Linked DNA regions of Drosophila melanogaster. The protein of the gene in region 2 purifies or fractionates together with the protein of the main gene of each other region. This does not show direct contact. Each region holds a gene or a part of one and is shown on either strand. Other genes may lie near its edges.

Evidence for each region.
Region 1: the proteins of Adf1 (region 2) and hb purify together in Drosophila melanogaster (affinity purification with western blotting; one study listed by BioGRID). This does not show direct contact.

What each region holds. Positions count from the first base shown.
Region 1 is NT_033777.3:8,686,368-8,702,506, forward strand, and holds hb (hunchback), read right to left. Parts: upstream 11,456-16,139; 5' UTR 10,959-11,455; intron 8,234-10,958; exon of another isoform or gene 8,089-8,233; intron 7,806-8,088; 5' UTR 7,788-7,805; coding exon 5,511-7,787; 3' UTR 5,122-5,510; downstream 1-5,121. UniProt on the Drosophila melanogaster protein: Gap class segmentation protein that controls development of head structures.
Region 2 is NT_033778.4:6,652,651-6,668,966, reverse strand, and holds Adf1 (Adh transcription factor 1), read right to left. Parts: upstream 6,698-16,316; 5' UTR 6,520-6,697; coding exon 6,519-6,519; exon of another isoform or gene 6,399-6,518; coding exon 6,210-6,398; intron 5,573-6,209; exon of another isoform or gene 4,911-5,572; intron 4,818-4,910; exon of another isoform or gene 4,772-4,817; intron 2,248-4,771; coding exon 1,954-2,247; intron 1,895-1,953; coding exon 1,590-1,894; coding exon of another isoform or gene 1,527-1,589; 3' UTR 882-1,526; downstream 1-881. Other genes in the region: CG15908 (uncharacterized protein), read right to left, coding at 260-658, 711-782; Dpit47 (DNA polymerase interacting tpr containing protein of 47kD), read left to right, coding at 7,039-7,668, 7,726-8,286; sced (scrambled), read right to left, coding at 8,987-11,455; geminin, read left to right, coding at 12,738-13,316; Opbp (Optix-binding protein), read right to left, coding at 13,742-13,795, 13,857-14,403, 14,458-14,850, 14,907-15,594, 15,646-15,652. UniProt on the Drosophila melanogaster protein: May play an important role not only in the regulation of Adh expression but also in the transcription of other genes.

The DNA.
Region 1 (16,139 bases), on a different chromosome or scaffold from region 2:
CTTACAAAAAGAATAGTAGGAAAACCTTGCCTTACCTGTTTTTTATTCACATGTCGAGTTCATCCCTCAACCTCCTTCCCATAAAGAAAAAAAAAGAATATCGATCCATTGAAACTATTTGCCAAATGGTTCTTTCCATTTTAGTTTTCTATTCGGTTCCTCTTTTTTTTTTTTTGCAACCCTCTATGAGGTGGTGGTGGTTTGCTATCCGTACCCACCCCGTATTCCAATATCGGGTAGTTTGGATTTCGATTTTTTGTTTTTTGCTCGTTTTTGAGGAGTGTTTTTTTGTGTGTGATATTTTTATTGGTGGTAATCGCATTTTTTGCGTGAAATTTCCTCTATTCGGATTGTGTAATAGGCGTTGCTTTGACTTTTTGGCCACGATTTGATTGGTTTTGATGGCTCGATTAGGGAGGATTACCATCGCTTTCAAGGGGAAAATTTTCAATAAAAAATTGCATATAGGGTCTACGTCGAATGCATATGAGCTATCTTATATAATTTGTTCTTTTTTTCTTTTTGCCGTTCTTATTATGGAGTTAATACAGAATAAGAGAGCCTTCATATATTGTATGTTTTGATTGAGTCAGTCATTTAATAATTAGTATTATCAGACGCTATAACTAATATCAATTAGAGTCTGCCCCCTGATTGAATCTTTCACTTTACCCTTCCAGAATTTGGGACTCTCCCAGGCATCTATGATTTCACTGTTCTCTTGACCATGGCATCTGGTGGATGTGTTTCGAGAGCAAACAGAAAGTAAAGGATGCCAAAATCGGGAATTCAATCGACTGGCCCGCACCAAAAGTGGCATTGTTTGTAGCAAACTGACCAAACGAGTCCAGCGGCTGGACTTTCTATAGTGCAAATATGGTATGTGGCGGCAGGGTGCAGGACTCCTAGGACACGCGTAGAGTATCTGTGCAACCCCCACACTCACACACACACTCACACACATTCATAGCCAGTGAGGCACACGCTGTTGTCAACTTCCTTCTTTTTTCGGTCTCCTCATAACGGATGCTGGACATTATCGATGAAGTGGAATGGGAGTGGAAATGAAACTCTGGATGGTATTTCGTATTTGGTATAGAGCATTGGGTAGCCGGAGTCCGCTTGCATATATTTTTAACCTTTTGTTGTTTTTCGTTAACTAAAGTGCCATCAGGGGCAGATGTTTTTTTCCATCCCAGTCGGAGTTTTTCTCCCATATATATCTCCTCGTGTTTTTTTTTGTTTTTGTTTTTGTTACCCATCCATTTACATGCGGAGTGGACACGATGGACGCATTTTGTTTGCCGAACTGTAAAAATTGTTTTGTTACTTTCGCTGTTTGCTGTCGCGAGTTTTCCTTAGTTATCCGCTTTGTTTATTTCCCTATGGAACGGTGGGGTCCTTCATGGATCTCTTTCATGGTATCTATTCAGTGTATAGGATAAACCCCACCACCACCACTACCATCAACATCATTATTATCTTATAGATGTGCTTTAATTTTCTACAGTTTTGCATATTCATCAAGCAATTAGTTTTGGTTTTTGCCTTTGAATTGCAGTTGGAATTTTGTGGCTGAGTGGAATTGTTGTCGACTAGGATGATTAACTATCATGGTGGGCATACATAATGGCAGTTGAATGGATATTTAAGTTGGGGTTGCAGGGTGTTTTAAATGTGAATAAAACGAAAATCATCATTTTTTAACGTACTTTCCGTACTCAGTAGGTCTCAGATGCAATAGAATCTGAATATTTTGTATTCAAGCAGCACATATAATAACTAACTTAACTTAACTAATTTTCTTATTGTATCACTTGTTTATAAATTTATTAATTTTAAATTGAATAATAGTATCTTTAAGATACTCGCCACGCGTCTCAGTAGATCTGTCGTAATTCACCGTCAGACAAACACATAAATTGGTCGACTGCCAAAACTCAGATGGTCAGCACATCCTTGGTGCTCGTTAGCAGCGTTGACCACTTAAGGATTCGCTACACCCACCTCAATCTCGCAGGACGAACGCGGGCCGGTCAGCTGTTGGACGAGGTGAAAGGATGGTCTCCCTTTCCCTCCCTGGCATTCTAGGCATAATTCCAGAGAATTGCTGTTTACTGAAATAAATTATCGGGTGTTCAACAAATCCTTAAGGTGGCTCGCACATGACGTCACGCTTGAGACATCGAAAGGATCGCCGCTGATAATTAACCCACACACAGATGCTGGCCCTGGTCCCTTGATCCGGGTACCCGACTGATCCGATCCCATCTCATTCCTGCCCAGTCCTGGCGATTTTCATAATTAAAATGCGTAAAGTTGTGGAAAAAAGTAGCCGGCGAGTTTCGATCCCTGGATGTGGGCGCCGGCTTTTACTGATGCAATCAACAGCTCATCAAAGGATGCTGACTTTGCGGGGTGGATTGCTAATCATGGGATCGCATCGGATCCTGCATGTGGCCATTGGGCACCCCGGACGCCGTCTAATCAACCAAACACCCACAACATGTCGCCCTGTTACCCCCCGAGTATATTACTATATATTTTTGGGTGAGTGGAAACCCTTGTTAACCCCTTTCCCCTTTTTCAATATTTGCTATTTTGGTTTTGTGTTATTTTTGGTGGCAGAGCTGCTAAAAATGGCCACCATATCGTGCACCGTTGGCACCAAAAACTCAATCCGTAACCCACACCAAATCCGAATCACATCCCCCATCCCAAAATGGCGAAGTCGAAGGTGGTGGTTAAACATAAATACCCTATTTATGGCGTTGCTTAGCCCTGTGGGATATATGTACATACATGTGACCAAGCGACTATTATTTGTATATACACTGAGGGAAAATTTATGAAATACTCTAGATCACAGCCCTTTTTAGCTGAGTATTAAAGAAATAATCCAAGTTCCATCATATGTACGAGTATGCTGTAATACTACAAAACTTAAGTAATTCTATCGTTTAATAAAATATATTTAAGATAACAAATCGTATGATTTATAAAACGTTTAATATAATAACTAACTAACTAGCTTAGGAAGTTTTGTTCTTATTTCCAAGTGCACATAATTCTCCAGACTTAGCTAGCTTTGATAATTGCCGATTGAGTTGGGGCAGTGGTAAAAGCCCAAATTATGTATTGTGAAAGTGTGCCATACGCGTGTCCTGCTGATCAATCAGTGTTGGGGGAGTCAAAAGGTGAGTCAATAGCTGGGAAAGGAGGATGGCAAGAGCAGCTGCATTCAGGACATAGGAGAAGGGACCCGGTACCCTAACACGACCAAAATTACACCTTTCAAATGGTCAGCAGGCCGGGCAATTGAACTATTTGAAGAACTCGCAGGACACAAAGTGGCCAGGACTCTCCACCTACTCTTCTGCATTTTTGTTTTTTTGTCTATTCGCAAACAATGACGGGCAGCAGGAAGAAGGGAGATGCTACAAAGCCACAAGCTGAGATAAGAACCGAGGAACAAAACCAGAAACTAGGGATCGTTAGCTCAAATGAGGACAATGCGGCAGGGACTCCTTCGTTATCGATAAACATCTTTCGCTTGCGGCGGCCACAAGCCAAGAGTTTATCCGGTACAAAGGGCAAATTGCCAACCTAACTTCGCTTAAATGAACAAGGATGTGCAGATCCTTCTGGCTTGAGGCTTTAATCTAAGGGGATATGCAAAATCTAATTTGCGATAAGATCAGACGCCTTAAACCATCATCTTGGCCCCGCACTCACCCTTGACTCCCAACGAAATTAATTTCGTCCATAAATATCAATTATTGGTGGAATGATTTAATGAGGAAAAACGGCATTTAAACGAAATTTACATGGAATTAACATCTAGAGAAGTGCATTCCTTCAACCACCAATCAGATGCAGCTTGGAGAAAACTATTTTTATAGAACTGACTTTCCACTCGAGACCCGAAAATTGAAGGAATTTCCCCTTATCCACGCGCCATTTGGCTGAAGTGCGTTGGACGCATGCGCGCCAACCCCAAAAAAAATTCCAAGGATCGATCCCAAGTGATCCCGGATTGCAGAAGGAGTCCCCTTGCTGCGTCATCTTCCTGCCACTCCTCCTCCGGCTCCTTCAGCGCGTGCTCATGAGTTTTTCATTATTATATAATGCCCCTCTCATATGCAATGCGAATTGTGCGTTTTCACGCAAAACGTCAATAATCCATCAAAATTCGATGCATTGAAATATGAAGGAAGAAAGCAGGAGCTTGTCCAATTTGTTGGGTTGCGCCCGCACACAAATTCTGTATTGTATATTATTCCTTTTCATCTAATAACTTGGGTATTTAGCACATGATGGAGCAGTTCTTCAATTGAAAAGAAGATGCATACATACTTACAATTTTCCCAATATATTCAGTTGCTTTTTTGGTGAGGGTGATCGCTTGCGATAAATCATGTTTAAAGATCGCGTGTTGACAGTTCCATTGGTCAGTACTTGGCCATATGGTTGGATAAGGGATATATTATAATATGCTGGGGTTCTGTTGAAGAAAGTTAAAGGAATCTCCAGGATATGTATGAGTGTTCATAGTACAACGCACTAAATAAAACACCATATATAATAATGAAAGCTAAAGTCATAGTCAGGTATAATAATAATAATATCTTCATCTTTATTATGTTATTGCATAAAAACATTTCGTGGGCAAATATCTTAGACTAGTTTAATTTACTTAAAATGGGATTTATCAAGGATTACACTGGGCTCACATCTTAAGTCTCGAAATTCGTTTCATGACCTCGACTTAGATTTTATGGGGTAAATACTAATTTTGATCCGTTGCTCAGATTTCGCGCATCTTAGCTACTCTTTAAAAATCTCTAAATTTGTACTTCTTCTTTCGTCAGTTTCAGTTGCATCGAAAATATTGTCATTATTGCCAAAAGGTTAACAACAAAAAAAAAAAGCGAAAAACTTGTGAAATTATATTGAATAATTGGATTTATTTGATTTGATTTCGTTCGATTCGAATTCGCTTTCAACTAACAAAATACTGAGAGAATAATATCAGAGAAAGAACTGAGTGTTATGCGCATATACGAATATGTTAGGTTAAATAAGACTAATTAATTATTTTAGAAAACATACTCATTATGTATATGTTATAAACTATATTTTATTAATTTGACTTTGGACTGTTGGTATTGTTTGGTTGTTTCGCTTGACTCAACTTACAAATTAGATTTAACTTAGGCTTATGTTTCTCCATGCATTTATGATAGTTTTTAAACCGTTTTCAGGGTTTTTAGTCGATTTCGAAAATACAAGAGTGTATAGGAGACAGATTGAAAGGTGGCTACAGTTCAATACAGTTAGGATAGTTAGATAAACTTAGGTCTAGAATTAGCGGCTTAATTGGCTTATGTACAATTTTCGACAACAAAATAATGTTTGGAAAACTTATGCTACGAATATATACAATTCTGGACAACGATTATATGATAATAGTGATAAATAATAATAACAAGGTGATGGTGATGGGGAACTTAGGAGTGAGCATTCCTGGCCATGTGAACGAAGAGGCCGACGGGTCCGTCGCACTTCTCGCCGCACATGTTGCACTTGAACACATCGTCGCAGCTGTGGTAGCCCATGTGAATGGTGTAGAGCACGGCGTCCTTGAAGAAGATATCACAGTACTTGCACTCGTAGATGGCACCCGCCGCCGCCGGAGTTCCGGATGGAGGAGCTGCAACCGCTGAGGTGGTTCCATTGCTGCTGGAATTGCTGCTGCTGTTGCCGTTGCTATTGCTGCTGGCATTGGAGCTGTTCCCCGAGCTGGACGCCGTCGAACTGGCACTGGTATTGGCCTGCGGCACATGGGCCGTCTCCATCGACTCATCTGCCGAACTGGTGCCCGAGCAGTGCTCCTCGGGCATGGGTTTGCGTCCGGCAATGGGCGAGGATGCAGTTGGCATGGGTGTGCTGGGTACTTTCAGTTGCTCGGGAGATGTCATGGCCTCCGATCGCAGTTGTAACAGGGTGTCCAGCTTGAGGACGCGTCCCTTGCGTCTCGAGGCATTCGAGCTGCTCATCAGAGGCGTGGCCTCCTCCTCCACCTTGAGATTCATGGCCAGCGGCTGCTGCGGTTGTTGCTGCTGCTCATCCTCCTTCACTGGCGTTCCTTGGGACAGATCCATGGCAGAGTCCACTGACTTACGCTCGTACTCATCGTCCTGCTCCTCCTCCTCATTGTCGCTCTGCTGCTGGTTCTGTTGCTGCAGTTGCTCTCGCATTCTTGGCGACAATTGGGCCAAGACAGCGGCCTGTTGTTGGGCGGCCAGCATCTGGAGATTGAGGTTCCAGTAGGGGAAGAAGGCCATGTTGCGGTTCTGCTGCAGAAGGCTGGCCAGAGGAGGCAGAAGATTGGCTGGACTGGGCAAGCTGGGCGTCTGTTCCACACTGGCCACACTCTTGGCAGGAGAGGCGGGCAGCGGGAGCACTGGAGATGCCGCCGGAGGAGCGGAGTTGCCTTGAACCAGAGGGAATCCTTGCAGGGCGGCACTCAGCTGAGATGTGGCGACTGGCTGAGCTGGCTGAGATTGCTGTTGCTGCGGAGCGACAGCTGCAACATTTGACTTCCGGCTGCCGCTGCCACTTCCTCCACTGGCAATCGGTCCACCATTCTTGCTCTTCGGACCACGACGCGTGCCGTAAACATCGATGACCAACGAGGGATTCGGGGTGCCATCCTCGTCCAAAACCATGCCGGGCTTGTGACCATACTTGCGCAGATGCAGCTTGAAGCTGTGGCAATACTTGGTGGCGTAATCACAATCCGCACAACGGTACTGATACACAGAACTGTGCGACTTGCGGTGCGAGTTTAGCATGGATTTGTTGACACACGTGTAGCTGCATTTGTCGCACTGGAAGGGCTTTTGGTTCTTGTGCTTCCGGATATGGTACTCCAAGTGGTGCTTGAACTCGGTGACGAACGGGCACTTCGGGCACTGCAGGATCTTGTCTGGTTTCATGTGGGTGCGGGTGTGCGCCCAGAAGTCCACCTTGGTGATGGCCACCACGCCGCAGGTCTTGCACTTGTAGTTCTTCATCTTGCCGTGCGAATTGTAGATGGGCATCCGGATGTTGGTATCATCGTCCTCGGACTCGGCCATGTACTTCATGTCCTCGCTGGAGTTCGACATCTGATCGTGCTCCTTCTCCGGCTCAATATTCGACTGACTCGACTTGGCCGGCGACTTAGGCGGTGTGACATCCATGGGTGGTGTTAGTGCCTGCAACTTCTCGCTGCTGCCAGTGGCAACTGCAACGGGCGCAATTGTGGAGGCAGATGTGGGCGTGGGCTGCGGACTGGGTCGCAGATTGCCGCCATAGAAGTGCTGCATGGGATTGGGCAGACCAGGTGGCGTCAGCGGATTGAATCCACCCATCAGATGGTGATGGTGATGATGTTGCTGCTGGGCTGCCTGGAAATGCTGCTGGTACTGCTGTTGCTGCAGCAACTGTTGCTGCAAGTTAGCATCGTAATGCTGCAGGCTGTTTTGATCGTTTTGGCTGGGTGATGGGGTCATGGCGCACAGGGTATCCATGGGTTGCTGCTGAAGCTGCTGCTGCTGCTGCTTGAGGAACTGTTCCAGGTGATTGGTCGAGGGAATGGGCGATTGGCGCGGACTGCTGGCCACGCTATTCCCGTCGAGATGATGACCTGGCTCCTGTTTGATATTTGCCGCGAACATGCTGTTGTACCAGGCGTTGTGCTGCTCGTAGTTGGTCGTGGCTGTCGTCTCCCAGTTCTGCATCTTGGCGGCTCTAGACGGCTGTAATGGATAAGAAAACAGAGAGAGTGGGGTTAGTGGGCATATTCATTTATTCATTCATGCACTGCGCCTGCGTCGAGTTTTTTCCTCTTTTTTTCCGCTTGTTTTTCATTTTATTTTTCCTCGCTTTTATTTTTTTTTTCTCTTTTTTTGGTGTGCTTGCGGCACCACCCCTAACAAAAAATACGTCAGGGGTGGCTGGGCGGCACCCACCCCCTGAAGGCGATTTGAGTGATTTTGTGTTCAAAATGGAGACACTTGGTAATGGCTAACAATATCCTACCGTTTCGTGGCCGCTCAGTGCGTATGATTGCGATTGTATCGAAGTATATTCCAAATTTGTCGGGATTTTCGTAAGGATTTGCAAGTATATTATTGGTGCTGCTTCTGTTGTGTTGTCGCAGTGGTAACAAACTCGTGACTGACTGAACAATTGCAACAGGCATTAGTTTATATATCGCTCAGGTAGACGGATGCACGCGTCAAGGGATTAGATGGGCAGAGGTGACGGGAAGTCAGGTACAGGTCGCGGATCGGTCGGGAATCGAGGATCACGGATCGCGGATTGAGGATTGCGCTCTTGATCCATTCTGGATTAGAGCAGAAACAAAAAATTATGCGCACTTGGATTTGGATGATCCGGGAGCTTAGCGGATGGCCAGCTTAGCAGCGAGCTGCGAATTTTCCACCGGTTTTCTATGGGGATTACGTTGGTCAGGAGTCGACAGCAGGAGTAGGCAGCTAGCGTGGGCAGTTTCGTAGTTAATAATAAAAAGTAAAAAGGATTGCGGGACTTAACTAAATTAACGGATCAGAACTGCTTACACCTGCGGGAAAACTCTAAGGACCAACTAAACTATATGCATAATATGTGCAGTATAATTATTACACACCCATTTGAAAAACATTTTCCTGACAACAATTTTCCGCCAGACATTTCACTTTGATTTGCGTAGTTTTTCTAATAATTCTCGCATTAAAATTGCTTGTTGCCTATATTTTTTCCATTTCCAATTTCACACTGAAAAATTGTGCAGTTGCTGCATTTTTGGCTAATTGTTTGTGCTTTCAAGTAAATATTATTAAAAACGCAAAACGGGAAAAAGGGGCATTTACGGAATATTATTATGGGAGGATGGTGCTGTGCTATCTGGCAGCTAAAATATCTACAATACTTAGGCATAATTGATGGTTCAGGAAACAGAAAGTGCACCACACAAAATGAAGCTTAGCATATTTATTTAAATTCGCTTTTGTGGATATTTTTAAAGAAAGCCAAAATTAATTGCTCGGCAAGTGTGTTAGTGTGTGTGCGCACTATGAAACAAAGAGAATTTTCGCCTTTCGTCTGGGCTTTTTTGTGCCATGCCCAACAACAGCAACAAAGCCAAACTAAAGGCCAAGTGTAAAATTAATATTACGCCGGGCAGGGGCATGGGCCAAGGGGGCAGGGGTGGGGGCATGGGGACCATGCAGTGGGGGTTAGTGGCGTGGTGTGGCCACAACGAGTGCAGCCAGGCAACCGAAACTGCAAAAGTAAACTAAACATGTGCTAGTCGTTTTTGGTGCCTCCCCCCCCACCCCAACACCGCCCCCTTTTTAACCCTCTAAAAATATCATGAAAATGGCAAAAATGGAAAAATTCGAAAACGCAGAAAATGCGCCACACAAAAAATGTTTTTGTTGAAAAATCCGTACAAAAAGCAAGCCAAGAGCAGGATATGCCTGCTTGTTTGCAGGCGTATATAAAATATATGTATGTATGCGTATACATATGTGTAGTTGCAACCGTTATGTTGTTGGCTTAGAACAACTTGTTGTTTTTTGGAGCTGCATTCGTTTAGGGAAAACTGCACTGCTGCTGCTGACTGAAGTGATTCAATGTCATTTGCGGTTTATAAATATATCCCGTATAATATGTGCATATTTATTTTTATGCGCCTAACAAAGCCCCATTTGTTTGAAATGCGCTCAGTTCTTTTTGTCGGCAAACATTAAAACTGTCGGATGACAATCAATTCTGCAAAAGATCGTGCAATAATGATTCCCATCATCATCCTAAACAAAAAAAAAAAACAAAGCCTGCGAGCGTCACATAGGTGTATTCATTATATTTGAAATGCATTTTGGCAAGTGCCGAACTATTTGCCATTAAAAAATTGCCACGTTGACTTTGAATTATAGTTCGATGTCTAAATTTAAATTATTAAAAAAGAAAAGTCGAAAATGCATTTGCCGAAAGAAGAGCGAAAAGAAATGCTAAAAATTGAAGGGGTTATTTGGGGGGCAGGAAGGCGAAAAAAAAACAACATGAAAGTCGACATGTAAACAAATAAAATTAGCTGTCAGGCGTAGAGGGGGGCGTGGCCAGGGGCGTTGCTTAGGAGGAGCAAATGAGGAGGGGGGGGGGTCGGTTGGGGGTTGGATATACGCTGCAGTTCTAGGCAAAAACAGACAGAGCGGGCAAAAAACAAGTTCACCCGAAGATCGGCCAAAAGCCAGACAGATTTTAAAATATTGTTTTAGAATTTTTGCCATTTGCATTTTTAGCAATGATTTACCACTCTGTGTGGTTGTGTGTGTGCATGTGTGTGAGATCTCTTGTTTGTGTTCCTAAGGTTAGACAGAAAAAGAAGCACTCGATTACAAACAACAAGAAGAGAACAAGAAAATGTGCAGAACTAGAAGAAAGTTGAGTACTTGGGATTAAAGGTGATTATGACATAGAATAAGCAAATTGGTTATCAGTCATCAGATTAGCATGAATTAATAAAGTAAAATACATTAAGCATAGTGCATAATAGCATATAAACGAACTATTTAAATCTGTTTCTTTTGAAAGTATATCACATGATGAATTATAATTAAACAACTATATATCGAATATATTCTATAAAAAAAAACAGATTTCGTATCAATTGAGAACTAAATTAAAATTTACAGGGCGTATGTAAATCCTCACAAAAACTGTGTATATTCTGGATACCCCAACATTTTGGCATTTGCTCCCGCAAAAGCGATTTGTAATTCTTGTTTATTTGTTTATCCGCGGAAAGCTTTTGCGAATTTCTACCTCCATGTGTTTTTTACGATTTATTGGAGGTCGAATGCAGTGTATAACTAGGATATTGGATGGTACGCCCAGTTACTTACCTTGCGGACAGTCCAAGTGCAATTCTGCGGGAGAATTTGGAAACGGGAACCGGGAGCAGGAGCAGGAGCACGTAAGTTTTCGCTTTTCGCTCGCGGACTCTCTCTTTCCCACTCTCTCGCTTGACCGCGGCACGGTTACCGTTAGACCAACACGCACAGTGCGTGCGAGGGGGAGCGGCGATGTGGGGGCTCCTTGCTCTTCGTTTTTGTCTATTTTTTGGGCCTCGCTTTTTAGCTTGCTTTTGTGCTTTCTTTTTCGCGGAATTCGCGCATGTGCGGGATGTGGTCTTTGCCAAAAAATAAGTTTTCGGGACAAAAGTCTTTTTGCAATTGGTTATCTTTTAGCACAAGCACGAAGTTTAATTGTATTTAATGGCAATATTTGTTTTGATAGCAGTTACGTTTCGTCCTTTGGATGTTTGGTTATTTTTGTATTTCAGTGGCTGCCTGTCAATGCTGGCGACTTTCGTTTTCGGGACTCGGAGCACAACTGACCAAACTCACGCTCAGCGGGCTCTTCTAATAGCTGAAAATCTCCTCACTGCTCCTCACAACAGTGCACTCGCCAAAAAAGAACTCAAATCTAAAATCTCAATTGCAAAGCAAAAACAAATGCCAGAAGTGCAACAACACAAAGGCGCACGAGAGCCGTTACACGGAGAAGCAGAAATCGAAATGAGAGAGCAGCCGGAGAGCATCAACAACGTAACGACGAAACTCACTCAAAACGGATACGGATGCTAGCTGTAAATCTGAGTGACTTTCCCCATCCCCAAAAGCAATAACTAAACAGCATCCCCTTCGTGGCGTTCGCTCTTTCACTCACTCACCCACTCTCTCGCTCTGACTCGCTCATTTTATCCTTTTGCATTTTCTGGCGCTGCATTTTGGCCGAATGCAGCTGCCTTTTTGGCTCTTTGCCGTTTTTTGGCATCTCCGCTTCACTATTGATTATTGATTTCTGGCCCAAAAGTGAGAGAGCGGAAATGGAGGAAGATGGGGGGCCTTCGCCAATTGTTTTTTGGGCAACTTTAAGCCCAGACACATTAACAACTTAGCCAACTGCAATTGGGACGATGGAAGTTTGGGCCGAGGAGATTCCTTGTTGCTTTAACACATTTTCCTGTTGCTGTGCGTGTTAACTTAATTTGGGCAAAGCTTTGCCACAATTAGCATTCGAAATTCCAAATCTCCTTAAGGTAGTTTGTGCATATTGGGTGTATTCCACCTTTTTAAGCTAATTTCGGAAAATGTATCATTGTTAGCTTGACAAGGATTATGGTTAGCAATAAATGCATATCATTAATAGTATCATTCGGTTTAGACCAATTTTTTTCCCAAGCGGAATGTTCGCTTTTAGAATGATAAATTAGGAGCGATTGTTCTAACTAGGTTTAATGACAAATTTTGGACTAAAAAAAAAAACTATTATTATTATTCATTATTCATAGTTCATTGGTAAAAACCTTTTTTTCTCTATACAATACAAAAGGATAACTTATTATTTGTATGGATCAGAGTTTTTCTAAAGAAAACATACATGCAAATTCATAATTAAGTTCGGAATTAATGTGCCTCCAGCTATTTTATTCAATCTCCTGTTTATGTGGAATATTTGGGCTAAAATCTCCTGTTTATGTCGAATATTTTGGCTAAAACTAAAGTGGAACGGGGAGAAATTAGGGCGTTGGCAGAGGGGGTGGGGAAAATGTAAAAGCAATATTTACAAAACAACAGAGCAAACAAATCGCCGCCGGAATGCAAATTATACAAGTTGCTCTCACATATCCAGAGGAATATATGTGTCAAAAGGACGTCTCGGGAACAGGTAGTACCGGAGGTAGACCTGCCATTGACGTTGACATGGCAAACCGGATTACGAATACGAACTGCAACCGGACTTAGCGAAGAAAGGATTAAAGGACGCAAAGCTACCTGATCGGCCCGCCCAGTTCATTAATCCGCGCATCCGAAGAAGTGCGACTGGAACTAGAGTGATGTGGATTTAAAAGCGATTTAAAAGTTGGCCGTACTTCTGCACAGGACATAATCCAACATTACGCAGTACGCAGGATCACGCAGGATCAGCGCCGCTGATCCGGAGGATCCAGTTAGTCCCGAGCGATTAGCGTTCGCTGATCAGCCCGATTAGCGTTGCTTAGGCGGGCGGGTGCTGTGTGGATCCTACCCAGTTACGTTTGGAAAGTTATGTAAAGTTGAAGTTAAGGACATAACAAATAGTCCCAAGGACCGTCACGCTTGACCTTTTAATTGATGAGCTGCGATATACCTATCCGGTGATCGGGACAAACACAAACATGCTGATGATCATGATCGTCTAATTGCCGAAAGTCCATGCCACGCATGCAAATGATCCTTATCCTTAACCTTTGGCCTGCGGCTGTCTCAACAGAAGTTCCTTCGAGGGGAAGATTGGGCAGATCAACAGGGCGGATCCGCACATCTTTATCTCATGATCTTCGCATCTCCCAAATGATATGCAAATGTATCTGTAAGATGTGCAGCCAAGCGCTTGGGATTTTGTGGTCGACCGATTCGCCCCTGGAGGGAGTATCTCATTAGGATTTCACTTTTTTTTGTGTTTTGATTTGGCGCACTCTTCTGCTGACCTTTGTCCTGCGGCCTGTTGAGATATCACCTTGAGTTCGTAAGCTGATTTCATGCCAAGGATGATTTGCCATTTTACTTCAGGTTTTTTCTTTCCTTCTGAAGGGGATTCTCTTTTTTGGCTGTTTTGGTTTGTGTGGTTATTGTACGGCGATTTGGCTCTTTGATCTTAAGTGCAAATTGGTTTCGCCACACAATTACTTAGATTTATGCGCTACTGTTGGCTAGAGTGCTGTTCGAGAGTAGTTGCATACTTAAAGGTTTTGGAAGCTGATTAAAAAAGTTTAGATTATATAAGAGTAATCCTGTATTGAATCAATTAGAAACCTATCCAAAAGGATAGGTTCAATGATGTTAGTTTTTTTTTTTTTCAAAAATGTTGAATTTATAATTTTTGGTGTAGTTTGAAACGACAGTAAGTATTCGATTCATAATACTTATCGCTTATATATGACTAGAACGTTGTGCTCAGTCACTTCGTGGTTTACTCCCTAACAAAACCAAACAATTTACCAAAAAGTCCTGTGGTCCTTAGGTAGCAAAAAAAAAAAAAAACACTTGCAAATCTCTGCTACATTCGCTGGTGAATTTTGCACACTTCTCCGGCATGTCGAAGCCCTTAGGAAGCCGCAAAAATTAACATTTCGCATAAATCAGATGCGAAAAGTGCTCGCGGGTTACGCCCACGAAAATGGGTGGAAAGCGAGAGGGCTGCGTTAAAATTCCGCCGAAATGTTATGGTAAACAGGATGGCTGTGTACACGGGCGTTCGGCCAACATCCGTAAATCCTTTTTTAGCACGAAAAACCGAAGGATTAAAAAAGGAAACTAGAGCAGAGGTCCCGGGGCAGGGCGAATAGTTGCTCTAATTTTCATTGTCCGCCTTAATGGTTACGCCGTAAAATTGGCTATGCGGCCAAACAATAGTGCGAAGGACGACGGCAGGACGCGCAGGACAATCGTCTGGTGGATTTCCAGTCGACACGCCACGAGATTTTATGAAGGCAACTCGCTTTGCATGTTATTCCATAGATTTCGCTTCGGTCCCGGTTTGTTTTGGTCAGGTAAGACCTTCGATTAACAATGAAAGTAGCTGGAAAATCGCGAGAAACTTCGAAAGACACACAAAGATACAATATCTATGAGTCTAATGGTCATTAGAGCGGTGCGCTCTACATACAATTGTACCAGCCGTCTTGTTTGAAGCCTAAAAAACGTCGCAAAAAACACACTTCCGCGTAAGACATCCCATTTCTGTGGTCCGATCGTAAAATATTTAGTTTTTTATGACCAACGGTGCGGGCAGGTAGCTGGCTGCCGTTTTTTGTGCGCGACCTCAACCCTTTCACCCATTAAGAAAAAATCGCATCCTGTGAGTGTCCTTGCCCGTTTCCCTCGAAACGGCCCACAATTTGTGTGCTTTGCGTTTTCTCCTCTCTTTTTGTTTCCACCTAATGTCGGCGTCATTGTCTTCTTTATGACGCCTCGGTTGTTTCTTTTTTATGGTGTCCTTTGTCCTTTGAGCCTCGTTGCACGGCCAAATCCCTACTTCCTCAACCCTTTGGCGGACGAGAAAGTTGCTAGGAGGAGAACGGGTTAAGCGAAAACTCCATTGCACTTTTTACAAGCCGCGATCTTCTTGGAATTAGTTTTGGTCATTAGGCGAAAGGGTTAATTTCGATTTTGGCTCTCGGTGGGTTTACTGAGTGAATTCAATGGGCTAAGGCGAGTAAAGGGTTATACTGTTTTTACATTTTACTACTTGGAAAATACTGAAGAACTTGTAGGAAAAATTTCCAGCACTTTTAAAAGCCATATATAACTTTATGAATATGAACTTCAAATGTAAAAACCTGAAAGTGACATGTAGTTATTTTAAGGTCCTTGAAAATGATCATCGTCTAAAATTTCTTTTTTTTAAATAATTTTTAAAATATTTTTTTGATAGCATACGAAGTATTTAAAAATGTGAACAGATTAAACACATTAAATTTATAAAAGTAAATACAACAGATTTAGCATAGAAATAAAAATCATTTTAATGTTCCGTCCATAAGTAACGGTCGTGGAAAATTCTTGAAAATCCCACAAATTATATTCGATCCCTTTGGCCGAACATTTGGTGCGATTACATTCGTAATTCGCTGGAAATTAAGGCCACTAAGTCGCCAGCGAAATGAATTCGGACATTGGGCATTGGACAAATGTAAAAAGGACTCTAGAGCCCCGACCATTGCAATGGTCCATTGTTGAGCGTCCGAAAGATCTGAAAACCAAACCCAAACCAAATCCCGAGCTTAGGCAATCGGCATTGGGAAATAAGCGCCAAATATTCTACCCCCCACTCCAAAAACGAGCATTCCGCTCACCCACCCCATAGAGATCCTTGGACGCAGGACGATGTGCCGTCTAATCAGTCCACATTTTCACACTTTCGTGACCCCTGCGGCGCTACAGATGCGTCGATCGGGGGTTGGCCCCTGGCCATTGGTCAGCGTAAAACAAAGTAGAGTAAAAATAAAATAAAAATATAATAAAATTGGGAACGCGCGC
Region 2 (16,316 bases):
ATTCGTAATACAAACACCTAGACTTTGAAAGCAAATGAGTTTTATAAGAAAAATGTGTCTTTACGTGTTTAATGAAAGCAATAATAATAATAAATGTAATAAATGTTAATAAATGTAGCAGCACTATCAGAAACAAATACAGCTGACACGAGCGTTGCCAGACCGCCGATTATTAGAAACCATTGCTGAAAAACTGAAATCTTTTAAGAACAATGAAACAACTTCCTTCTTTTCTTAACTAATAATTTACTATTTATCTTCACATGATCGTGCACAGCGAGCGTTCCTCTCCTTGCGGCGCCGCCTGTCCAGAGAGCTCTTTTTGCTTAAGCTCAAGATAGGTATTCTCGTTTCGCTTCTCCATCCAGTCCGGCAGAGGAGCAGCCCAATCCAGCGGTGGCTTCTTACGCTTCTGCCAAGTGTCGTTGGCAAAGTGGGCGCGCAGGCGGATCCTTCGGCGCTCCTCCTCGCTTTTAATCACCGCTTTGCCGGCAGCCACATCGTTCCCGTTGGACTGCTGATATCGTTCGCAGTTACGGTAATCAGTTAGCCATTGGGAGCAATCTGTGTCCTTGCCAAATATAAAGTACTGGTGGAAGCGCGCCTTAAAACTCGTGCAGTCGTCGTACTCCTCCTTGTACAGATGACAGGGTCGGATCTGTAAAGGGGATTCCTGAGTCTCGGATCTGTTAACGTAGCTGGATACTTACTGCCCATGCGTCATCTAGTGATTCCTTTGATTTGTCCGATTTTGAGTCAGCATTATCCGATTTTGTGGCCATTTCAATTACATAAAATCAATCATTAGCCCGCACAGCTGATTTTGTTTATGCCGCTGGCTCGCGGCGTTGCCATATCACCCCGATTGAAACTAGTCGGTTACTTTCAAATGTTTCATTTAATACCAAATAATTGCACAATTAATCATTAAAAATGTTTAGCAACTGGCGTTGCCGGCAACTATTTCGATTTTACTCGTATCCATGTAAAGTGTGTAATATGCGATCACTATGAAAAAGGTGTTTTATGTTTCCCTTTGTCACACTTAATTAAGCATTTCAAAGTGTCTTTCAAGCGTTTTCGGCATATTACAACAGAACTTATAAAATTAAAATAACTTTTACGTGTATACTTAGTTTTAGAGCTAAGACCCGATGGCAAATTACAACTAAATCGTAGTCAAAATTTACAATACGCTGCATATAAAGTGTTTCCACGGTCTTTTAACAAGCTACTCATAATTCTAGAATCGCTATTTTCAATCGCATTTTTTGTACAGAGCTGAGAACTGGGCGCGAATTAAATCACCGATCATGGGGTCAACTAAGCATATAAATATATATGTTTGTCTACATGGGCGTGGGGAAGTATCATTACGCGTTATGGTTTACGCTGTGGGATGTTACGTCTAATGTTATTCTGTAGTTTGACTTTAAGACCTATGAACTGTAGAAAATGACCGCACAGGACCCCCAAACCCGTGTAGATGTGGATGTGGGTAGCCGTGGGTCTGTTCTCGTTTGATCTCAGGGCAGAACGCTCTCCAGTTGGAGCAGCTGCAGCAGCTGCCGATGACAGCCGCCCGACAGTTAGTACTTGTTGTGCTGTGCCAGAAGCTGCATGTCCGTCAGATACTTGATGATGTGCACCTTCGCCTCTGCCTTTTGTCGCACGCCCAGCGTGTTGAGCATGTCCGTGACTACCATGCCGAACGACTGGTCCTCGGCGCTGACCGCCTGCGAGACGTTGTTTTGGAAAATCTTGATGGTGTTGAGCATGTTGTCGCTGTGCTCCTCCTCACTGCGCTCTCGCTTGAGCGGCGGCTCGTAGAAGTATGGCTTTTGGTCCTTGCCCACGGCAGTGGCCAGCTGTGCATCGCTGGTGACAGTAATTTCTGCAAGAGACCGAAGTATTTAGCAGGGATCTCTGGTGCTGAAATGCTGGTTCACCTACCATGCGGATGGGTCAGTGCCTGGGCCGAGGTTGTGGCGCTGCCGTTGAAGGGCTGTGCAAATATATCCACGACGGTCTGTTGCTGCGCCTGCTGCTGCTGCGACGGATCGGCCACCTGGTTGGCGCTTTGACTCCCATTGGCGCACTTGCCGAGCAGCGACTCTCGATACTGGCGGATGGAGTCAACCAGGAATTGCATCTGCTTGAAGTAACGCCAGCGCGATTCCTGACATAGTTTCATCTCGCGGGCGAACTTGTCGCGCAGACTCTTCCAGCGCTTCGTACATTTTTGTTCTAAAATGAAAAAGAGTTGTTGGTTTATGATTATTAAATGTCCATATTTAATAGTTATTAAACTAATGTTGCCTTTATGTATGCATTGTCTATTAACCCACATTTAATATATGTATGATCCAAAATAAAGAAGCCTTAAGTTCTGAAAACTCAATCTACTATTTTATTGCTTGGTTGGTAGATTTTAAAAAGGTCGCATAAGCTCATATTTCGTCTGAAATTTGCGTCACATTTTTTTGAGAAATTACTGACTGCCTTTCTAATGACTCACTTAAAAAATAATAAAAAAAATGTTTTTAGTAAGCCGAAAATATGTATCACATGTTTCCAAAAGTCCATCAGCTAACTTAAACAATATTTTACATCGGCTAAACGGATGAGCTGGCTGACTCAATATAGATTGTTTACTCTAGCAACGAGATGCAATGTTCAAACTCATCATACACTTTCCTAAACTACCACTTAAAGAAAAAAACGTTTGCGAAGAAAAGGGCATCTGACTATTATTGCCTTCTCCCTTGGTTTTAAAATAGGCTGCAATGTGAACTGATTGGATTTTCGGGCGACCTTCGCCTTCCTTATGATCCTAGTGCGAAAAGTTAAATTTATCAACATTCTTCGTGAGCTGCAAATCCTCCAAATAAATGAAGTGATAGAAATAAATAAAAAAAAAAAGACTGTGCCTATAATTAGGTGCGTCACTGTACATATGTATGTACATATATCAGCATATCATACGTACATAAATGTACAGTTTGTCAAGAAACTGTTTACACACTGTAAAATAAGTTTAATTTTTGACTTTAAAGCTAAAAATAAAGGGTTTTTTATGCTTAATTAAACGCAATTTTTTTTATAAAATATAATTAAACAATATTTATTTTACTTATAAATCAAAAAACAAATTAAAAATATTAAATATACAAGAAAATAAACAACAAATTCCAAGTTTACACACTTTTGAGACTGTCAAGAAACTCTTTACACAAAACACTAAATCGAAGTTTAATCCTAAATTTTTTAATTATTTTATTAAAATTTTAAAAGTTTTGGTATGTAGTATGTTCCCCATTGGCTTTAGCTACAAGTTGAAGCCTTTTTTTCATGGATTGGACAAGTTTTTGCAGGTCATATTCAAACGGGATCTTTTCACACTCTTCGACTATTACAGTCATAAGCTGTTGTTGTGTTTTAGGTCCCTTTTTGCCACCTTCTTCTTTAAGTAGGTCCACAAATTTTCAATGGGGTTCAGATCAGGACTCTGAGGGGGCGTATAGATCACTTTACCACAGTTATTAAGGCGCCAGGTGCGTACATTGCACTCTTTATGTTTCTGATCATGTCCTGGTAAAACTTAAAATTTGGCTTGTTGTTGCTAACCAGACTAATTTTTTCTACACTGGCCTTCAAATTTGTTTTCTAACATTTCTAGATATTGCACGGCATTTATTGTGCTCTCAATTAAGGCTAGTTTTCCCACTCCACGGCTGGTGATACAGCCCCACACCATCAGTGACATTTTTCCAAATTTTATCGTTGGAATGATATTTTGTTTTTCTAGCGCACTCAACGGTTTGCGCCATACTCTGCTTGGCCCGTCGTTATAAAAGAGCATCATTTTTGTTTCGTCACAAAATATGACGTCATCCCAGTACTCTTCCGCATGATCCATCATTCACAGGGAATGAATGACGCTTTTCAATATTGATCTCTGATAGCAAAGGCTTTTTTCTTGCAACTCTTGAAGAGTACCTATGGCGTAGGATGACTTGGCGCACAGTTTCGTGTGACACAGTTAGGTGACATTCTTCCCTGATATCCTGAGCAAGTGATCTGACCGAGATTCAGGGGTTCGCAATCACTTTTCGCATGATAAGGCGGTCTACTCGCTTGTTAATTTTGGTTTTCCGCCCACCACCACTCTTAGGTTCAAGCCTGCCCTCTTTTTCCGAGCCTTTTAAAACATTGTAGACGGTCTTACGGGATACAGGAAACATTTATACTAATTCTGGAAAAGATTTTCCCAACTGGTGGTTATAGTTTATTAATTGGGTAACTTCAAAAGTTAATCTCTTTCCAGGCATTTTATTAAATTTAATAATTCGCTTTAAGCACGTTTGATCAGCAAAATTTCACAAGCAAAGTCAACAAATTTCAATAGAAGCGTTGTAAAAAGCAATGCAAAGCCAAAAATAACGGAAAAATCGAGTTCGTTCTAAGAAAAAGAACAAAACAAAGTAGGAAAACAAAATGTGTAAAGAGTTTCTTGACAGTCTCAAAAGTGTGTAAACTTGGAATTTGTTGTTTATTTTCTTGTATATTTAATATTTTTAATTTGTTTTTTGATTTATAAGTAAAATAAATATTGTTTAATTATATTTTATAAAAAAAATTGCGTTTAATTAAGCAAAAAACCCTTTATTTTTAGCTTTAAAGTCAAAAATTCAACTTATTTCACAGTGTGTAAACAGTTTCTTGACAAACTGTATGTATTTTATTTTATAGGGTAACCCGTCAAATGCTTGATAAAGTATACCTCTATAAATGAAAAGAAAAAAGAAACCAGATTCGTAAGTAAATGAAATGTTTCTGAAAATATTACAAATCTAATATAAACTAAAATCTTGTTTCTGTTACATTGAATAAATGCTTTTTTCTCGAAGACCTGTTCATAACAACCGGTGCAAGCACACCTGCGCAGCTGTGCGTGGCGGTTCTCCACAGAAGGTTCTTCAAGAAGCTCTGGACTAGTGTAGTCCGGAACTGTGCAGAAACTAGAACTATGCCATCAAACCCACCCAAAGAAGCATCAAATCGGGAACCAAAACAAACCGTTGGCAGCAGCAGCGTCGGTGGCAGAAGGAAGGCAGCGGACAGCAGCTTCCCAGCGCCAGCAGAGACGTTGACGTGACGGTGGCTGTGACGTCGCCGACTCCCGCTGCCCGCTGCCAGGAGACGGAAACCTGTGGCATTGCTGCTGGCTCCACTTGACTGCAACTCCAGCTTTCCAGCCACCTACTTGCATAATCGAAAGCGGATGAGGTGCAGCGATTTGGCCGAAAATTTAAGGTTCGATCAACGGCCGTCGAGGGGGTGGGGTGAACGGTACATTTTGTTGGTATACTCATGAAAACGAAACGAAAGCTGCCTGGTCGGTCTCCGGTATGTACAGTGGGACTCTGAAGTGTTGACACAGCTGTTCTAATTTGTGCTTATCTATTGACCTTTCCAAAGCCCTATATTTTAATTTTCCGAATTCTCATCCTATTCAATATTAAAATAAAATCCATAGTTTCGTCTAAAGAACTGAGCAACTTATTTATTTTACTAATAAATACGTATTTATAACCCGTGCCAAACTGTTTTCTGCCACTGTATGCTGTATGCATGTATACGTGTGTGAGCAGCGCACATCGCAGTCGCAGTGTACGAAAATAAACGCTGGCGCAAGCAGAATGGCTGCGGAGCGAGCGAGACAACTACTGCGACGCGACGGCAAAGTACAGCAACTTCAAAAATATCGACTGAGCACAGTCTGCACACCGACAGAGCAAGCAGGGCCGCAGTCCGAGCGCCCGAAAGGGGCGCTCATTTTAGAGCAGATCTTTACAGATAGAAATTAACCTAGGTTTAATTACTAATGAACTGTATTCTAAATGCAACCATATAAATGCAGTAAAAAAAGTTCGCATAAAATGCAATTTATGAGCGGTGCAGCCCGCGCCCACCCTCACACGTATAGATCCCCCCCTGCCATTTCCTAACCATCAGCCAGCTACTGCGCCGCGTCGCCGTTCACTTTTGCGTCGTTTTCTGTCGTCGTCGTCGACTGACTTGTCCCGCCCCTTCGACCTGCGCCCGCACAGAATTAATCAATTGGCTGGGGCTGGTTGGGGCACGGACCGAAGACGGCTGACAGAAAGCAGAAAACCCGTAGCCAAAACCAGCCGAATTTCACTTACCAGGCACACCGAGCGTTTCGGCGATTTGTTTCCAGGTCTGGGCCTTGCGCACAAAGTGCTTGTAATTGTAGTGCGACCTGTCGTATATCACTGGGTTCAGCTTGACAGCCTCGATGAGATTGAGATCAAACTGCTGCTCAAGATTGGCATCCAGCTTGTCCATCTCAATGGCCGCCGTGAGGGTATGCACTGAGGGGACAAGACGGGGAAACAAGAGTTACAAATTTAGCGGGGACGAGACGGACGTGGACTGGGTCGGATCCCAGTTCCAAACTGGGCACACGGGCTCCCGCAGCCGACGACACTCACTTTGCTTCTTACGTTTGCTAATTGTTGTTAAGTATTTGGCGCGAACGCACGCTCTGTTTGTTTTTATTTTGATTGGTTTCTTCTACGAGGAAGGAACGTCGACGTTTTAATTTTATTTCTCAGTCGCGTCTCTGCCAACGGTAACGGTACGTCCCAGCTCAGTCGCGTCTCTGCCAATTAGGGGTGGGAAAACGCCGATGAAGGGGTCATCAGCGCATCGATAATTTTAAAACTCTCATACAATAACAATATGTTATGGCGACTATCGATGTTTCTGATATATCACAACAGCTGCGTAAAGCGTCAAAAGGCTTAAAGTTTTACCATGTTAAGATTTAAGATGTTAAGATCATAATTCGTTCCGAGTTTAGCTCGTTTAAAGAAGGAAGCGTACGACTATCGATAGACGGAGGGCCACCCTTATTTTAGAGGCGCCACCTTTAGGAAATGTGCGGCACCTTTGGCCAGTTGGTATATTGTAACGGTTCGTCTGCGGTCACACTGTTTCTGATTAGACCAAATGAAACAAATGGCGGCACAAAAAGCCTGGACGGATGAGGAGCGTCTGGAGCTGGCGGCCCAGCTGGACGCGGAACTGGATGCGTTTATCGATGGCCTGGAGAAGAAACGTTACGAGGAGGGCTGGCCGGAGGACCGCTGGCAGGAGGAGATGGACAAGCACCCGTTCTTCATGAAACGTGCTCCTCAGCCAGGGGATGACGTGCATCCGATGTTCGAGGGTCTGCAGAAGCTCAAGTACGATCCGGAGGAGAACACGCGCGACGAGCTGGCGCTCAACTACAAGGAGGATGGCAACTTTTACATGAAGCACAAGAAGTTCCGCATGGCAATCTACAGCTTTACCGAGGGCATCAAGACCAAGACGGACAATCCCGACGTGCTAGCCGTTCTCTACAACAACCGCTCGGCGGCTCACTTCTTCATCAAGAACTACAGATCCTCGCTGAGCGACGCCCAGCGAGCTCTGTTCTACAAGCCAGACTACACAAAGGCCCGCTGGCGGTCGGCACAGTGTGCGTACGAGCTGGAGAGGTTCGATCTGTGCACCCAGATGTGCGAGGAGCTGCTCGAGGTGGACGTCGACAACGAGGTGGCCATCGCGCTGCTGCACAAGAACAAGATGAAGAAGGTTAGAATACGTGATCCAACTGGATAGGAACCCACATTAAACAAGTTATTTCCGTAGCTCGAGATAGAACGCAATCAGCGCAAGGAAGCTGCCGAGGCAAAGCGACGGCTTACACGCTTCCACAGACTCCGCGACGCCATCGAGCAGCGCGCCATTAAGTTTGACGATCAAAAAGTTGGCAAAAAGGACGTCCTCAGTGAGGAGCTCCTTTATCCAAAGTTTCTGCCTTTGGAGGACCATCCGGTGCACCTAGACGAGGACGGCAGCACTCTGATCTGGCCGGCTGCGTTCTCCTACCCCGAGTTCCTGTACAGCGACTTTTATCAGCAGCTGCCGGAGACCACCACCATGCGGGATTGCCTGGCGACGCTGCTCACCGAAAAGCTGCCATACGACAAGGCACACAACTACCGCCTGGGTAACGTGCACGTTTACTACGAGAACCGCAAGGTGGGCTGTGTCCACAAGGTGGACGAGGAGAAGCAGCTGGCCGAGATAATCGCCGAAAAGGGGTTTTTCGTTTCCGGTGGCGCTCTGCTCTTCTATGTGGTGCACAAGGATTCGCGAGTGGAACAGGAGTTTATAAACGAACGGCGACGACCCATGGTTTACAGTTAAGACAGTGAGCAAATAAAGTGATTCCTTCTTGAAAACAAACAAACACCTTTTCATTTGCTTGTAAAGTTTACTTCATTTTTGTGGCATATTTTATTTGTAAGCTTATGGTTTAGTCACGGTACAGTTCAGCATTGGTTATGCTATCTTGAAGCATTTTATTGTAAGTTTAACTAATCTCTGATATGTTATGCGAAGCCGAAAAGCGTAGTTCAGGCTACGCCGCCAAAAAATATCTGATGCGGCGTAAGCCCATTTTGGTAGACGATTAATCATCTGTAGAATTGAAAATTGTTTAGCTAAATTTAGTTTTTCTTTAACAACAAGGCGCCTAAATGAGTCAACAATGTGGTTTTTGGTTTAATACGTATAAAAGCGTTTTTGTAAATTTTCATAATTGAGCATATTCTTAGACATTCATCGTTGGTTCACAACAGTAGTAATACTAGGGGACCCCCCAAGTGGATCCGGATATGGTTCGTTAAAATACATTTGACAAAGCAGGATGACCATACATATAAGGCTTAATACTAAGTGCATCGTGGGAAAGCGTATTATATACTCGGATAACATAATAATCAACTTGTCGAACTAATCAGATCACATTCACAAGAAACTACAACATAAATAGCGAAATGGTTAAAAAGCAGTTTGTGTCCACAGCGAAGTGTTAAACATGGTTACGGAAAACGGAGAATCCATTTTAGTGCTGCGGCGAAGGTGGATTTCTCTGGAGGACACTATTGAGTCTCATCTTCAGCGGCGAAAAGTCAATTTTCTTGAAGCGTGGTAGGGAGGCGAACTTTTTCATGGTGCCTCCCTCGGGCTGCAACTCATTGGACGTGGCCACAGACTGAATCATGGGTTCCAGACGCGCTGGTGCGGGCAACGCCTTGCTGGGCGAATGCCCGATTTTGGCCAGCGTCGCATACTTTTGCAAAAGACGACTAGCCTTTTCCGCCGCTTGAAAGCGATCCTCGTACTCCTTCTCCAGATTTGGCTGTACAAAGCATTCGTTCGCTACGGGAAGAGCAGATGCTTTCGCCTTGCAGGAATCCTCAGATGCTTGGCTATCATCAAACTTAAAGTCAATGTTCTTCAAAACGGTCAAGTGCAGCAGTTCGTCATCCACGCCTTCATTGTTATTGTTATTGTTGCTTTGGTGGGTATTGTTGCTATTGGTGCTGTTCGGACGCTTTACCGGATGGGTGACTGCATAAACACTGTCAGAAATTTTGTGGGCGGCAGTCTTTTTGGTTGAGCTTTTAGTCTTGGCTGATACTGATGCTGATGAGATGGTGGCCGCCTTGTGACGCTGCTCAATGATTTGCTGGGGCGAGGAAATGTAGAGGTTCTCCTTTCGTTCACGTCGCAACTTGGAACTGACTAAGTGCCTAAAACTAGGTCCATGTTCGGTGGGACTGCGTCGCTTTGACTTGAGTGTGTCGCAGCTGTTCGGATAATAGGAGGGTATCTTGTCGTCCACACTGATAATCGACTTTCTTGGTGTCTGGTAGTAGTTTTCCTCCTCTGGCTTCTGTTGCAAAGTTTTGTCCTTGGGCGTTCCCTTTTGCGGCAAGGCCGGCGCCAGGGGAGATTCGGTGGGTGTGCTTGTGCTCAGTCCAAAGCCGACAGGCTGCGCCTCCAGCTCCTGTGCGGCCTTCACAGCCAAAAGGTTCTCGTAGAGGTGTTCCGCAAATCCAGCTGCAGCCGCTCCGACGGTACTGTTCAGAGAGGTTCCATGCATGACTTCGTATATGTCACTCTCATTGGCGATCTGCGTCTTGGTGGGCTGGTCCTCCGTGTTACAGCTGCTGGTGGAGGAGCAGTAGGAGCCCGTGGAATATCCGGAGGATGTGGACACTGTACTGCCGCCTGGCTGTGGTGGCAAATCTTTTACCGTCGCCTTTAAAATGGGTGCCATTACACAGTATCCCGTAAGGTCTTCGTGCAGTATCTTATTTTTCTTTAGCTGATTACTCTGCGGAACAGCTCCATGCGATCCAATGAGATTGATGGTTGACGTGTTACAAGCGGAAAAGTTGAAGTTGTACGGAAGTTGCTCCGAAACATTCAGACTTTCCAAAGAGTCTGCTTTGCCCAATTGGCTAGATATTTGCGCAATAATCTCATTGCGAGAGATCGGCTCAATGACCGACTCATCCAGACTAATGTTTATCTCCATGCTCGACTCATGGTTCTGGGCCTCGAAGTATTCTCCAAAGGTGTCCAGCAGATTGAGTTTGGACAAGTCCGGACTTGAGAAGCTATTACGCTGAGACTTGTTCAACTGGGATGTGCGCTTTACCGGAAGCACAGGCTCCGGCGTGGGGGCATTCTCATACAGTGGCAGGACCTCATCGCTGGGTTCATTGGCCACCTCGCTGGTGCTGCCGGAACGCTTTTGACGTGAACTCCCGAACAGGTTGTCCAGCATGTTCTTGTATTTCTTCTTCTTGGCCAGCTCCGATTCGGGATTGGTGCTGGACCGCGCAATCTCGCCAAGCTGGGCGCACTCAAAAGTGTTTATTCGCTGACGGTAAGGATGTGCGGGCAGCGGTGGCGGTGAAGGAGTCTCCATGACTGACGGCTTCATCTCTTCGTAAATGCCGGATGCGATTGAGACGCGGGAGATGCGGCTGCCGTCAAAAATCTCCTCGTATATTTGCGAGACTCGCGGAGAGAGAGCGCTAGCGTCGAGGGTTTCCGGCAGGTTAGGCAGTGGGCCCAGACCTCCGGGACCCCTGCTCAGCCGGCGCTGTTCTAGAAAGACCTGGCGATAAAGTTCCAGATTCTTAATCGACTTCCGCATCCATTTCATGTGACGTCGGCAGGATGTCTCCGTTTCCAGGGCGAAATAGATGAAGCAGTCCCGCCGATTTTGCGTCCAAAACAGCCCGTACGAGTGCTGCTTCGTGCGCGAGGTAGCCAGGCTCAAGCTGACGCCCGGAACGTTTACGGAGACGCTAATGGGTTTAGCGGGGTGACACTCTTGGGAGTGAGACTCGGTCTCCATGGCCTGGAAACTGAGCCGCAGGAAGCAGGGCACACACTTAATGGCCTCTATTTTCACTTGGCAGCGGGTCCATGTCTTGTAACGCAGCGCCACTGGTCGCTTATCGTGTGTATCCAGCTTGGCGTCCATAGTCATGGAGATTTCGTTGTGGTCCATCTTGGGGCTACTGCTACGTGGTGGGGCGGATGGAGGTGCGGTGAATGAGTTGCGAGTGAAAAATAAAAAAGTAAACGATCTATATCCGCTACTTCGAGAATTACATCTTTTTTGCGACTGGGTGGAGCTCTTATCGGCTATTCTCTTATCGCACGTTTATCCTTCGTGTCCTCGTGACGTGACTGGCGTTGCCACCTGGCGGAATATCACAGAAATCGCGTTTCTAGAAGACCAACAAATGAATTTATAACTTCAATATACATCAATCAAACTTAAGGTGCTCAGCCTAAGCTACACAGCTCTTTTAAGTTCTTTATTTATACTTTTAAATGCTAAATGCTTACATGTTATTTGGACATCTTGAGTACTAGCTTAATAAGAAGGTAGTATCCAAGCAATTCTTATTTATAATCTCTTAACTAATTTACACAATCTTTTAAATTATTTTCAAGATCCATAACCAGGTCTAAAACCAAACAAATAAAAACTAAAATCCTATTTATACTTCGCTTTATAGCTATTTTAATATTTATTATTAAAAAACGCTAATGATGTTTTCAAAAATGTTAGGCATTTCCTTTTAGTATTTAAAATTCTACATCCGACATTGGGGTATATTTGACTTCTACTTGGCTGAGTATGAATTATGATTTGCAAAAGAAGTAAAAATTTAACTTTAAAATTAGGTATCTGTCTAACTGTTTTTGTCGTTTAAAACACAGGGTAGGTATGGTTTTCTTTCAATTTAAAAACATCGCTAGAAAACTGTTTCCAAAAAGTAAGCTGCATTTTTTGTTTTTAGTTTTGCTTTATACAGAAATTTTAATACTATACTTTTTTGATAAGCATCCACCAGCAAGAATACAGCAAGCTTTTATTTAATATTTTATTAACATAATTATTTAATATGAATGATTGGTAATATTTTGAAGTACTCTACTACATAGCAGTCGTAGGATTTGTTATTTTTCACATTATTTTTGTAGGTTTGTAATTATATTTTAAGGGATATCTTAATTTTACATTCCTAAAATAATTTGGTAACTTTTTGCGATAGTCGTGACACGAAATCGAGGGATGAAATTGCATGTGATGCAGCCCCTTGAGCAAACAGTGTTGGACAACAGCGCGCGGCATCGGCATTTTTTGGCGGCCATTACAACGAATGGAAAACTGTGAAGCGTTGCGCACAAATTAATGCATAAACAACAGACAAGCAAGTAGCACACGCTCTGCCGCCTGACAACCAAACCCACCGAAAGCACAATACACATCTCCGAAGATGTCTTCGAGCGCTGCCAGGGTCTACATCCAAGTCGAGACAGAGGCCGAGCAGAAGGAGCACCTGAAGCAGCAGAGACAGACCCTGAAACCCTTGCAGGGCAACGTAAACGATAAGGAGAACCTCACTGGTTCAGGGCGCGCCTCCATCGTGGATCAGCTGAGTCGTCTGAAGGCCGGCGTCCAAGTCGCGCCCAAGTACGGCAAGCGCAAATGCGTGGACACGGCGCCCGCGATTTCCACAAAGGATGCGGATACCCAGACTGATGCTGAGGCCGTTCCGCTTGGCAATGCTGACAAGCCCATCACGGCAGAGGATCTCACTAGCACAGCCGAACCCGGCGAGAACTACTACAAGCTGCTGGCCGAGCAGCGGCGACTGGCGCTGGAGGACTCGCTCACCGAAAACCGCCATCTGCACGAGCGCATCGAGGGGCTTGAGGAGGAGATGGACACTATGCGCCAGGAACTGGACGAGGCCAAGAATTTGGTGGAGGTCCTGAAGGAGATCTGCGAAGAGGACAACAGCGAGGTGGAGGAGGACGACACTACGGGTGACGAGGACAAGGTCAACGCCTAGGCTACACACCAATCACACGTTTTTTTTAGTCTAAGGTTTTACATTTAGTTGTAGTTAAATATCGCGTTTATATCCCTGTTCGTCGTCAGCCAACACAACGGCTGGTCTAATTGTACGCCAGCAATATATTTACTTGTTACACGCCAGTTATAATCCTAATAAAGTTTTACATTTGCACAATTGCACACAATATTTAATTCGTATTCCTGTATTTTATGTGCAACTTATATAAACCATTTCGCATCCATATGCTAGTTTAGATATGCTCTTTTCCTTTCATTAATTCTACATCAAAACAAATGTGTTTATTAGCTTACATCAATGCGGATGGATTTCAATGTGTGGGGAGCTAACGCAAAAATAAAATACTCAAGGTACAACATATTTTTGAGACAAATATTTATTGGATGTAAAACTGTGAACTGCTACTTAAGCCAATCTGTAATAACTTCCTCGCTGTGGAAGTTATCCACGTCAAACTGCAATAAAGGAAGAGAAAAAGGTAAGTTTGGGAAGAGATACAAAGAACTAGTAACTCACCACAACGCACTCTTCGTAGGTGGGTACGGTGCCCACGATGTCTACATCGTTTACCACAGCGTTTATGTAAGCGGCATCTGCCTCGGCTGCCGCTATCAACACCGCAGTCTCGGAATCATCGGTCTCAGCGACGTGTGCAGCATCAGTTGAGGTGGCGGGATTCTCCTGCTCCTCCACCAAACCGTGAGCCGACTTCATGTGCAGGCGCAGGGCGAAGAGACGTGCGTACTCAGCTCCACAAGTATTACAATAGAACTTCCCAGCTGCCTGGCTCTTCGAGGTGGCCGCACTCTTAATGTTCGGCGTACCAGAGCCGACACTTCCTTTGCTGCTGATCTCCTTATGGGTCTGCATGTGATTCTTGACGGCGTACATCGAAGAAAATGGGCGATTGCACACGGCACACCGGTAAGGCTTGGTGTGGGTGTTTTTGTGGGCGTACAGCTGCACGGAGGTCCGAAAAGTCTTGGGGCACGCATCGCATGAAAACTGTCGTTCGGAGCTGTGGATGCGCAGGTGGTGGGAGTACACTTGGTGCGATTTAAAGCTAAAATAATAAGTTATTTAAAACTGTAATTCTATGAAACTTGATTTTACCCACCGCTTGTTGCACACCGTGCACACATACGGCCGAATGTTGGTGTGGGTACGCAGATGAAGGGTCAGGGAATATGACACCCGAAATGTCTTGCCGCAGACCTCGCAGGCGTAAGGCTTTTCTCCGGTGTGGACCCGTTCGTGCTTGACTTTTTCAAAGGGGCGGGTGAACACCCTCTCGCAGTACTGGCAGGGAAACCCGGGTTTCTCCTTATCGAGACTAGTACGCTGGGCTAATTTACGGGAGGACTCGGAGTCGCGCGGTTTCTCATGGATTTTTTGGTGCATCTGATAGGTAACTTCGTTCTCAAACTTCCGGTTGCAAATGCTGCACATAATCTCACTAGATTCCTGTTGGTGCATCTGTTTGTGTACCGTCAGGAGGGTTTCATCGAAGCTGGTAAATAAGGAAATGATTCGTGGTATTTCTTTCTATTGCAGATATAAGCATACCTTTTGTTGCATATTTCGCAGTAGAACTGGTCCAGCTCGCTGTACTGCTGATGGGCGCCTATAGGAAGGGCGTCCTGAATGCTCTTGGGAGCTCGATTCTCATGAATGCGCATGTGGAATTTGAGAAACTTCTCCGAGCTAAAAACGGTGTTGCAGATTCCGCAGCTAATAACGGATGATGCGTCTCTCGGACCCGTCCTTGCACTGACACTGGCCAACTTTCGCCGGACGGGTGCTTTCGCATCGCCATCTTGTTGGCTGGACCCGCCGGATTCCGCCCGCGGACATATGTGCTCCTCAGCTTTATTTCGGTTCTCGAAAATGCTGTGGCAGTCGTAACAGAAGTAGCGATCGGAATTGCTAGGCTCGTTTTGGTCCTTCTCCGCCTTCACGTTGGCCGGAACTTCCTCCACCAGCTCCCAGAGGGGTACGTCTGCGTAGACAATGTCCTCTTCCCCGACCTCTTCCGAAATGCAATCTTCGGCGACCTCCTCGATGAAATCCAATTCCCCGCTAGCGCCGGTGCAGCAGCCGGCCTGCGGACCGTGGGCCCTGTCGTAAGACTCGGTGTCCTCGTATACATTGCCGCAGCTCTCGCAGTAGAGGAATTCCTGCTGCAAGGCGCCTCCGGATAAGTCTCCATCCTCCACGTGGAGGTTCGGGGTAGTCTCCTCGGCCTGGTTGGACGCTGCAAGTGCATGTTACTCGACGTTCATACCCACGGAATCAGTGCACTTACATGACATGGCATAATTTGCTCCAATCTTTATTTACAACAAATAATAATGGGCAGATCCACAGCAATAATAACAAATGGTTTTTGGAAATCGAAGCGTTGCCACAGGGCTGGGTAAGTATTTGCGTTTTAGCTGGGTGGCAAGGCTAACAATCAAAATTTAAAATGTTAATAACATTTATTTTAAAGACTAGAACATTGAACCAGTAATTACAAAATTATAAAAACTTTTGTCAGCAAAGTTAACTTTTATATTTTTTGTTTAACTGAGAGATTATGTTAGTCGATTCGTCTTTAATTTCTGGTAACAGATACACTGTTCAACAGTCAAAGATTGGGCACTATAACATTTTAAAGACGAATTGTCGTACTCAAAATATTGGCACCTCCACGGCGTTTCCAGTGTTGCTAAACACGGACATAAAGTAATGCAGTTCCGTGCATAACACCCAGACTTCGCGCCAAATTCGAAAAAAAAGTTTACAACACACGCTTTATTGCGCCTAGAATAGCCTTGTATGTACAAAAAGAGGAGAAAGGGAATAACAATATTATACGTAAAACAGGGTCCGTTACATACTACTAAACGACTGGTGCCCATGGAAGCAGGAATGATTTGAAGCTCTCATTGACTAAATGGTACGATTGTATTTCTTAACGACGCGATCCCAAGC